3 linked regions of the Caenorhabditis elegans genome follow. The protein of the gene in region 2 interacts with the protein of the main gene of each other region in a pairwise test. Each region holds a gene or a part of one and is shown on either strand. Other genes may lie near its edges.

Region 1 (3,756 bases), on a different chromosome or scaffold from region 2:
CCCAAAAACATTTTTCAATTTTTGTACTCAGTCAATTCTTCATTCCGCGTTGTCTATCTTCTTCTCTCTCACTCAATTTTTGAACTTTTGCCATTTTTATTACTGTTTTACTAACATTATAACAATATATAGCTTAAATGAATATTAATTTTATTATACTTTTTCAAAAAATATTCTAAAAATTATGTTTCAATGCGTCAATCAATTCAAGCTCAAGAGCCTAGTGTGGGAGATAAGGAAACAAAAACTGCACGATGTACTCTTCTTTTAGACGATAAGTGATAAGATAAGAAAATTAGGAGAGAGTGAAGAAAGTGAAGAGACGCAGACACACACAACGTGATTTGATTTTTAAGATAGTGGAATTAAAAGGTTCATATTGAAACTCTGTAATAATCGGGTTTCCAGAATTTTTCCGATTTTTTGTTTGTCACAATTTTTAAAAAAATTTCGTTTGATATTATTTTCTTCTGTAACTTATTAAACTTGTCTTAATAAACTTGCCATTTCAAATATTGCAACTTTCTAGAAATTTTGGAACTGTAATTTTTTATCAAAAGAAATTTGGAAACATTTTTAACACTTTTTTAAAATGATAAACTGGAACAGTGAAAATTTTCAATTTTCTAAATTTCATTAGAGATAAATTCATGAAAATTATGAATTTCTAATAAAAATTCAAATTTTTGGTAATTTTTAAATTTCACTGTTTTCCATTGGCATTATTTGTTCTGAATTTTTATAAAATGTATTAGGTTTTAAATATGGAACTTTTGACCATAATTTTTTTTTGGAAAAAAAATTTCTGTGGAGAAATTGAAGCAGAAAAGGAATCTATTGAGAAATTGAAATAGTAACGAAAAAAAAAACATTTTCTGTTTCAGCGAAATTTTTTAATTGTTTAACAATATATTTTAATGGAATACTGACACGAAAAGACAAAAACATAAAAATACAAAACATTCTGACTCATAGATCACATTATTATCATCAAAACAAATAAAACCAAAAACTGATAAACATAATTAATAATCTAAAGTTCCAAAGTGTCAACTCTGCCGATTTTTGATATTATAAAAACCTCTCAATTCCCGAATCACGTGGTAACCCGCCATGCATGACAATTCGATATACATGACCGCCGCTCAAACTGTGCCGATAACACTTTGAATTTATTCATTTTACTGTTTCTAGTGCAAAAACTCTCCGTTTCGTTGAGTTTTGCACTTTTTAGTAGATAATATTTTGAAAACTAACATTTATTTTTAGATTAAAAACTATTTTTGTTCAAGGTAAATTTAAATTTTTAAACCGATTGCATACCTAATGTGAAAAAATTAAAAAAAAAACTTCGACTGTTTTAGAGAGTATGTTTTAAAAAAGTGAGTTTGTAAAATTTTAGTGGTTCGGCATTTTTTTTAATACATTGAAATTGAAATTCAATTTTTTTTCAGTATCAAGATTGGTGCAGCCGCTGTGAAATGTCACCTTTATCAGTATTTTTGTTGAACTTCTGATTTAATTTTTGACAAAATTCACAGAAAAACGAACATTTGCAGAAATTTTTATCAAAAAAATATTTTTTAGAAATTTCCAATGTTTCATCAAGTAACAATAACTGCCAGAACATATTACACTTTGATGGACGGTTTAAATTAACTTCGAATATTCAAAAAGTTGCAGTTTCAGAATTATTTTAATTTGACTTCTTTTTTTTTAATCTCACTTCTTCGAAGAGTGTTTCACCCCTTCTCTAGAATTAACATCCAATAAATGCCAAATTACAGTAGAAAATGAAGAAAGAAGTAACCGAAATTTCATCGTATGATGCCACAAACTTGGTGTTCTACGTAAACGGAAAACGCGTCGAGGAAAAGGATGTTGACCCAAAAATGACACTGGCAACCTACTTGAGAGATAAATGTGAGTTCTTCGATTTTTGGAAAAAAAATTGCTGTTTCCACTAGGCAATATATACGTGTTTCTAGTTTACAAACGTGATGTGCATGAATTGATCTGAAATTCGAAAAAAGAATTTGATTCAAAACAAGCTATCTAGAAATCGTAAATATATAATCCCAAATAGCTAAAAATTTACGAGTTTATTTTATTTTAAGTGAAGCTCACCGGAACAAAAATTGGATGCAATGAGGGAGGATGTGGTGCCTGTACGATAATGATTAGTCATATTGAAAATGGTGAAATCAAGTGAGTTGGGCATGAATGTTTATTTTTTAATAGTAAGTATAGTAAGAAAATATATTTTCGGTTTCAACAATTATTAACAAATTTGTTTTGCATTGTGCTTTCCATTGCATTTTGCAAGGGTTTTTGTCAGATGTTCTTTCAGCAGAGCCGATATTGATTCTCATCACTTTTAAGGGGTTTTTTCTTGAATTGATATCTTGCATCGTTGTAAAAAAGTATTTGAAATTAAAAAGAAGTTTAAAAATGGTAAGGAACTACTTATCTGAACGTATTAGGAGTTTAAAATAGGAATTGGTAATAACGCCAACTTGAAACAGTACAATTTTTGAGAATGTATTTTTTAAAGCCTAATTGTTCCAGACATTTCTCCGCTAACTCCTGTCTTATGCCAGTTTGTGGAGTTTTTGGAAAAGCCGTAACTACTGTGGAGGGTATTGGAAGTGTCGCCAAGAATCGGCTTCATCCAGTTCAGGAGAGACTTGCCAAGTGAGTTGAATTTTTCGTATTGTCGGGAAAACTTATGGAATAATTTTTAGCAATGTTCAGTTATTAAGAACACTTGTAGAAACAGTCAATTTTTTGTTGTTGAAATTTTAAAAATCTTCTGTTTCAAGGGATCCTTTTAAAAACCTGAGATAATACATTTTATTGTTGTAATCAAAATAATCCTAATCCATTCTTCAACTGTTTTGCTTCCAGAGCTCACGGCTCCCAATGTGGATTCTGCACACCTGGATTCGTCATGGCAATGTATGCTTTGTTGCGTAACAATCCAAATCCTACAATATCCGATATTAATTTGGGTCTACAAGGAAACCTGTGCCGTTGTACGGGTTATCGTCCGATTCTTGAAGCATTCTATAGCTTTGCAGTTGATGAAAGTGGAACTTTGAAGGTAAGTTGGGAACCGGGAAATGTCGGATGCTCAAGAAAAGCTAGAAGGTTGTCTTTAACACTCAATATTGCCGTATCATAAAAAAAAGTAACTAGATATGTTCCACATCAAAACTTAAAAAGTAAAATGAAACAGGAGAGCACTCTTAAATCTTTTTTTTTTTCGGAAAACTTGTTTTTTCAATAGTTTTTTGAGCGCCCGACATTTTCTAGTAATTTTCCCTAAAAAAACTGTCGAATTATCCAGGTCACCGAAGAAAATGGCTGTGGAATGGGAGAAAATTGCTGTAAAGTTAAGAAAACTGCATGCGGAGGCTCCGATGAAACTACACCGGGATACACTGGCGGAGAAAGAAAACGAGTAGGTTTTACTTTGAAATTTACAAATTAAAAATTAAAAATTACATGAAAATATTTCAGAAAATCCAACTGAGTGACATGTCGGACTGCAAACCATACGATCCAACTCAAGAGCTCATTTTTCCACCGGAGCTCAAGCTTCATGGATATGAGTCCATGTCGTTTGCCTATGATCATCATCACACCAAATGGTATCAACCTGTCAGTTATGAGTGAGTTTTTTTTTAATTGGATTTGTGAAATTAAACACTCATTAGTTTTGTATTTTCTCATTAGTTTTGTATTCAAAATAGA
Region 2 (3,756 bases):
CACTTGAAATGACGACTGACATGCTCTACGTATCCCGTTTAAAAGTTGAACTTGATCAACGAATGCGTGATTCACAGTTCTTTATTGAAGCAGAGAAAGACGACGAAATTAAGCGTTATTTGGATAAATATTCGAATATTAAGAGGGAAAAGCTTAGCATTGGTACGGAAATCTAGGTGAAATTGTGTCTCAATTTCAGAAAAAACAAAAAAAAAATTTGAAAATTCAACTTTTTGGCTAAATGAGAAGAGCGGCCAATCAGCGATTTGCTCCGCCCATTTTTCAACCAATCAGATGGAATGGGCGGAGTTGGAAGATGCTGATTGGTCGGAGAGTTCGAGGAAATTAGCCAAAAAAAGATTGAATTTTTCTATTTTCTGTAGCGCTTTTTCTGAATTTAAGGCGATTTTTTAACCTTTTCAAATTCATAAAATCCATTTTAGATATGTCCCATATGCCGAATGAGCTCATTTGGCGCCGAGCTAGCTCGAAATCCAAGGAATCTTTGGCAAAACGACGAAAAGTCGCCAATGACGATTCGATGATCAAGGAGAAGTTGAAAAAATTGGAAGAAAAAGAAGCACAGAATAAGGATGATGATGATGACGATGAGAAGGCTGATAATGATGTAATAGATATTTTAATTTCAGATTTTTGACATTTTATATGGGACAGGGCATTTTTTAGCACTTTTTTTTCAGAAAAAATCGAAAAATAATTTTCAGAAAAATCGAAGTAAATAAGTAGAAGAAATGCACGGAAAATGACGAGAAAACTAAAAATCGAAATTTTTCGTTTTTTCGAGAAAAATAATCAAATTTTCAATAATTTCGGGTTATTCCTCATGAATTGCAAAAAAAAAATATTTTCTCATCAAAATTGGCATATCTTTTGATGAATCTAGAGTTTTCTCGTCCCTTTATTTCTGAAAATAAAATTTAATTTTAGTTGAAACATTTGGAAAACTGCTCAAAAAATGTTCGAAAGTTGGAAATTTCTAATTTTCAGACGATTTTTGAGTGGTTTTTCAATTGTTTCAACTAAAATAGGAGCTATTTTCAGATAAATCACTACATTTTAATGAAAATAATTGGAAAAAAATCATATCTTAATTTCAGAAAGACTCTGGCAGTGAAAAATCCGCGGCAGAAGAGGAGGAGAATCCATTATCAGATGATGACAATCAGGAGGAGGATAACGATTACATCTCGGCTTACTTTGATAATGGAGAAGGATATGGGGACGGCGGTAGCGATGATAATTTGGATGCCGATGATATTTAAAGAATCTCCGGACACTTTTTTTGTTGTTTTTGTTGTTTTTCTCTCAATTTTTGAATATCATTGTTAAATATATGAATTTATTTATTGATTTTCCCTTAAATTTAACCCTTTTATTCGTTATTAGCTTCAGATTTAACCAATTGGTTCAGAAAATCGGTTTTTTCAAGGAAAAAAGTGTCCAAATAATGATTACGCAATCGCGCTCCATGGACAACTAATTGAACGCACCGTTTTCCCGCCAAATTGAACGCAGCTCCGATATTTTTTATCCTTTCTTGGGGTTTTTTATAGTGAGAAACACAATTTTAAGCAAATATTTTATTGTTTTTAATCAATTTTAAACGAAAAATATATTAGAATTGTTAATTTATCGTTTCGCAATCTCATACTCATCTTATTTTCTCGAAATCTTGGAGAATATCGGGGGTTTTTCGTTTTTTACGTCAGGAAAGTGCGGCGAAATCCGTATAAATTCGGTGAAATTTCATGAATTTGACTGATATCGTTCGGTAAAACCTAAAAAACCCTATTTAATTGGAGAACAAAAAGGAAAATCGTGTTTTTTTTTCGAAATTCGCTGTAATTCGTTTCCTACCCCCGTTTTCCACTCAAAAATCCACAAACTTCCCAATTTCAGAATATTTCAGATATAAATTCACAAGGACTAACCCCACACCGCTATGGGAATTAAAGGACTCTCCCAAGTGATTGCTGATAATGCTCCCTCCGCGATTAAAGTCAACGAGATGAAGGCGTTCTTCGGAAGAACAGTACGGGAATTTTTTCCTTAGATTTGCAAAATTGAAGGTTCAAAAATTCGAAAAAATAATTTTTTAAAGCGAAAATCTCCAATTTCGTCTACTTTTCTGTGCGCCGCAGTCTGATTTTCATATTTTAAAATATTTTAGTCGTTTATCTCCTGCTATTTTGTTGATTAATGATTTATCGGTTCGACGCGATAAATCAGAAAAATTTGAAGATTTTCAGCTCTAAAATTGGCTCATTTTTACATAATTTTGAACATTTTGAAGAAATTTCCGGGTAAATGTCTTAAATTTCGACGAGTTTTGAGTCTTTACAAGCAAAAAAACAAAAAAAAATGTTTTTTTTTCAGGTAGCAATCGACGCATCAATGTGCCTCTACCAATTCCTCATTGCTGTTCGTCAAGATGGTTCCCAGCTTCAAAGTGAAGATGGAGAAACCACAAGTCACTTGATGGGAATGCTGAATCGTACGGTTCGAATGTTCGAGAACGGAGTGAAGCCTGTCTACGTTTTCGACGGAAAACCACCGGATATGAAGGGTGGAGAGCTTGAAAAACGTTCCGAGCGTCGTGCTGAAGCAGAAAAAGCGCTGACTGAGGCCAAGGAGAAGGGAGATGTTAAGGAAGCGGAGAAGTTCGAGAGAAGACTCGTAAAAGTCACAAAACAACAGAACGACGAGGCGAAGCGTTTGCTGGGATTAATGGGAATTCCAGTTGTCGAGGCTCCATGCGAGGCAGAAGCTCAGTGTGCTCATCTCGTGAAAGCTGGAAAAGTATTCGGAACTGTCACTGAGGATATGGACGCGCTGACCTTCGGCTCCACGGTTCTTCTCAGACATTTCCTGGCTCCAGTCGCCAAGAAAATCCCGATCAAGGAGTTCAATCTTTCTTTGGCTCTCGAAGAAATGAAGCTAAGCGTTGAGGAATTTATTGATTTGTGTATTCTTCTCGGCTGTGACTATTGTGGAACTATTCGAGGCGTCGGGCCTAAGAAGGCTGTTGAGCTGATCAGACAGCACAAGAATATTGAGACGATTCTTGAGAATATCGATCAAAATGTTCGTCGTTCGTAAAATGCCTATTTTATTATAAACGCGCTCCACGGCAAATAAATGCCCCGAACCATGGGTCTCGTTAGGTACTTGCCGGTGAAATCATAAATTCGAATTTTTCACTTAGTTTTGCCTTTTTTTTTAAATTAATTTTGGCATGAAAATCAATGGAAACAACTAAAAAAGCCGAAAAATTCAATAAAAAATTAGCAAATTTTGAACTTACGGTTTTGCCGCCAAATAGCTAACGAGGCCCATTATGCGTGCAAGCGTAATTTTTCGAGAAAAAAAAAATCGAATTTCCAATATTTTCCTGTCATTTTTCAATTTATTGGAGAAAAATTATTTTATTTTTCTCATCAAACTTTAAAAAAAGCTATATTGTTTCTCCTAAAGATTTATTATTGAAAAAATTATGAATTTGTTCGTTTTTCGATTTTTTCTCTGAAAAAAACTCGAAAAATTGAAAAAAAATAAATCGAAAGTTTTCAATGTTTTTTGTGAAAAAACTGACAAAAAAAAGCGGAAATTTTCAGTTTTGTCTAAAAAAATCGAAAAATTTCAATTTCCTACTAGAAAAAACCGAAAAATGGAAAATTTTCTTTTTTCTCTTAAAAAAAATCGAAAAATTTCACTTTCCTTCTAGAAAAAAACCGA
Region 3 (3,487 bases), on a different chromosome or scaffold from region 2:
GAAACGTAAAGCACAAAGAACACTTGGCACATTTCGGACGTCAGCGGAAGTTTGCTCAAGGCACTGTTTTTTGTCAAGTCATGGATTTACAAAAAACAATGGCGGGAACGCGAACAGGAATGTCTTTGAAATACATGTTTAGTGTGGGAAAAAGTGAAGAGTGTGTCACAGGAAGAATTTTTGAATTTCGGGGAATATTTTCATGATCACTATCAGTTTATTTGTCTAGTTAAGATAAAAGTTTAGGTTTCTCATTTAGTTCGAGTTCTTCACTAATGTTCTACTTCTAGTTGATCTGAATCAAATATTGTGTTCTTGAAAGTCACGAGTGTGCACATCGAACTCCCATTTTGATAACATTTATTTTATGGGAATCACGAATATTTTTGAACTTTTATAGCCCTGTTTATGAGATGATAATATTAAAGATTCAATCAAAAGTTTACATATCAACAACACTATATTCTAGCATAAGAAGAAGACATAAGAAGAGTTTCTCAAATAAAAATCATTTTCTTATCATATTTTATATCCAGTTTTTATGATATTTACAACGAGTTCATCAAATCAATGATTGCACCTATCAAATTTTTAAAAAAGAAAAAGAATAACATGTTTATGAATGTTGCAGATTTTCATTGTTAGAAAGACAATGAAAATTACAGTATCGGACTGATTTTAGAACATTTGATAAAAAGTATGTTCATTGTACATTGTACCGTGATGTACTTTTTCAGTCATTATGCTTCATTAGATTTAAAATGCCCCACGAGAATTGAATTTTCAGTCTTTGTAGCCCATTTTTAGTCTAATGGAAAAAGTCCCAAAACTTTGCTACTCCACCTTTAATTTTAAAAACAATTTTTCCGAATATTCTTTTTTGAAATCTTCCAGATTTGTAATATATTCCAACAATACAGTTACAACATAAACATAAACATTTTTTGCAAGAATCTCAGAGACATCAACCAACATCCCCATTTTACAAGTGTTGTTTTTCTTTTCTTATCACAACACATCTCACCAACGATCAATGTCAATTTAACAAACCAATAGTAGTATTACATAGTGATAAGCGATTTTCGATGACCCAGCTCTATCATTTTGCTGTGTTTTGTTTTGTTTACTGATCGGCTGCTGATCAAAGGGCTTGAATATTCCGAAATGATCAACTGTCAACAAGATACGCAAACATAATTGTCTGAGAGCTTCTACTACATTCAAGTCAGGGCGTATCCTAGAAAAAACATAGAAGACTGGCATTGTGACGTCCCGGTCCTCAATCGGAATGTATCAATTATGAGACATCATCATCATTGCCAATTAAGTATGTCGGAGTTGGCATACATTTTATGTTGGCATACATTTTTACGTATCATCTCCATTTCACTATCACTGGCACTTCATTCATTTTTTTGTGTCTTCTGTCTCCTTGTCATATATCCATTCCAAAAACAAAAGTGTGACCTCCGGCGAGTCACCAAATGTGCAAAAAATGTACCTGTGGGCGGTAAATATGATAAAAATAGATGAGTACTTGACGGAAACAAACGAGTAAAGGTGCGAAGACACAAGTAGTTGATGAATGAAAACACAGTTTTTTTTGCACGGAAACAAGAGCTATCTTTGAGTGATTTGATCAGCTAACTATTGTACAAAGTGATTTCATTTTTTTGTAAGTCTGCGATTTGAGGTTGAGATGGGGTATCTTTTTAGACTAAAATGGAAGAAAGAAGCCGAACATCAGTTTAAAAAGAGAAAGATGGAAGCAATAGTTGTTGATGTTCCTACCTAAGAAAGTTCATTTCAAATAAACTAAATTCCAGTCAAGATCCAAGTGATCAACCATCACCAGTGGGTAGCAAAGTTGAGCAACATGCAAATTGTTTGAATTGATCGAGACATTTTGACAGTTTTCCGCGAGTGATTACGATTACGCAACATGTTGGCCAATATCCCTTCCGGAATGGCAATGAAGCCTGTATAAAAGTGAGGAAGAACTTTGGAAACTCACATCATTCTCATTAACTCCTAATCTTATAATGACTACTTCCACTCTTGCGATTCTCCTTGCCATCGGAACTTTTATTGCGGTTTCTCAAGTGAGAATTATTTTTCAATTACTTAATATCTTCTCAATTTTTCAATATTTCCAGGTTCAATCTGCGGTTCTTCCAGTATCATCGACTGAGTTGGCAACTGTTGGAACTGATGTTTCAACAGCTTCAACTGCCATCGACACTCTAGGAAATTCTAGCTCAAGAGTGAAAAGACAAGGAGGATGTGGGTGCTGCGGTTGTGGATGTGGATGTTGTGGATGCGGAGGAGGAGGTGGTGGATGTGGATGCTGCTGTTGTAGACCAAGGTACCCAGTTTTGGAAATACTTGAAGCTATAAAAAATTTTACCAGATTGAGCATATCATGGAATTTTTAAAAATGGAAATTCAATTTTATTATATAGTTTAATTTTATTAATATATAGTAAGCTTTAACTGAAACTTCTAGATGCTGCTGCTGCTGTCGCCGTTGCTGTACCTGCTGTAGAACTTGCTGCTGCACCAGATGCTGCACTTGCTGTCGTCCATGCTGTTGTGGATGTGGATGTGGATGTGGATGCTGTGGATGCGGAGGAGGAGGACGTAAGCGTCGTTCCCTCCAAAACCTCAGAATCGATGATGCTAACCGTGCTCTCGGAATCAAGAGAAAGTCCTCAAAGGCTGACAGATGTTAAATTCAGTTGATTCTTATTTATTTTTGGCACCCAGCTACTTAACTTATTACTAAAATTAGTAATATTTATCCCAATAATAATAATAATAATAAATTTGTGTTGTCCTTAGCTTTTACGGAATAATGGCAGGTGCAAATGGTTATGTTGACACCTTGGCGGCGCCAAATGCAAACACCCAATCAAAGCATTCTCCGAGAATCTAATTTAAACGTTACTTTTTTCGTTGGGTGGTTTTTTTACATTTCAGTTGCGAGGAAAATTTTTAAAAGAATTTTTAAGTCTTAAAAAAATATGATTGAATTTGCAATTCGCGTTTTGTAATTTTGGTATTGAAAAAAAACGCGGTTGTGCTGTGGGGGTAAACAAAACTGATGAAATTCCGAATTAAAGGCAAAAAATACGCAAAAAGGATTTCACTCTCAAATTAGGGTCTCCAGAAGTCGGTACCATTTGTTTATTTTTTGGACCTCTTTTCATGTTCTCGAGGGCATTCTAATTGGATTCACTGACTCTTGGCATCACTGGGGTCCTTCAAAAAGACCTCCTCTTCATTTTTTTTTTGTTTCTTCCCATTTTCTCAATGCTCACAGCAAAAATACACAAACACACACATGAGAGCAATATGAAATTTCATTATTATTCGATTTCCTAGATCTCTTTTTTGCGACTTTTCGTGTCTCTTTGACTCTTTTTTGTTTTATGTTTTTCATACTTAAAATAAAAAGATAGGAAACCAAAAGTATTATCTGATTCAG

The links.
Region 1: the proteins of crn-1 (region 2) and xdh-1 interact in a two-hybrid assay, tested with the Caenorhabditis elegans proteins (one large-scale study listed by BioGRID).
Region 3: the proteins of crn-1 (region 2) and idpb-4 interact in a two-hybrid assay, tested with the Caenorhabditis elegans proteins (one large-scale study listed by BioGRID).

Annotation. Positions count from the first base shown.
Region 1 is NC_003282.8:14,410,924-14,414,679, reverse strand, and holds the start of xdh-1 (xanthine dehydrogenase), read left to right. Parts: upstream 1-1,785; 5' UTR 1,786-1,793; coding exon 1,794-1,923; intron 1,924-2,001; exon of another isoform or gene 2,002-2,022; intron 2,023-2,117; coding exon 2,118-2,208; intron 2,209-2,313; exon of another isoform or gene 2,314-2,334; intron 2,335-2,389; exon of another isoform or gene 2,390-2,410; intron 2,411-2,453; exon of another isoform or gene 2,454-2,479; intron 2,480-2,568; coding exon 2,569-2,694; intron 2,695-2,712; exon of another isoform or gene 2,713-2,733; intron 2,734-2,857; exon of another isoform or gene 2,858-2,878; intron 2,879-2,907; coding exon 2,908-3,103; intron 3,104-3,169; exon of another isoform or gene 3,170-3,190; intron 3,191-3,349; coding exon 3,350-3,463; intron 3,464-3,522; coding exon 3,523-3,674; intron 3,675-3,740; exon of another isoform or gene 3,741-3,756.
Region 2 is NC_003279.8:3,480,067-3,483,822, forward strand, and holds the start of crn-1 (Flap endonuclease 1), read left to right. Parts: upstream 1-1,930; 5' UTR 1,931-1,963; coding exon 1,964-2,053; intron 2,054-2,397; coding exon 2,398-3,105; intron 3,106-3,756. Other genes in the region: Y47G6A.9 (DNA-directed RNA polymerase III subunit), read left to right, coding at 1-162, 444-628, 1,119-1,283. UniProt on the Caenorhabditis elegans protein: Structure-specific nuclease with 5'-flap endonuclease and 5'-3' exonuclease activities involved in DNA replication and repair.
Region 3 is NC_003280.10:8,736,079-8,739,565, reverse strand, and holds idpb-4 (Intrinsically Disordered Protein, class B), read left to right. Parts: upstream 1-2,009; 5' UTR 2,010-2,042; coding exon 2,043-2,102; intron 2,103-2,156; coding exon 2,157-2,365; intron 2,366-2,506; coding exon 2,507-2,732; 3' UTR 2,733-2,840; downstream 2,841-3,487.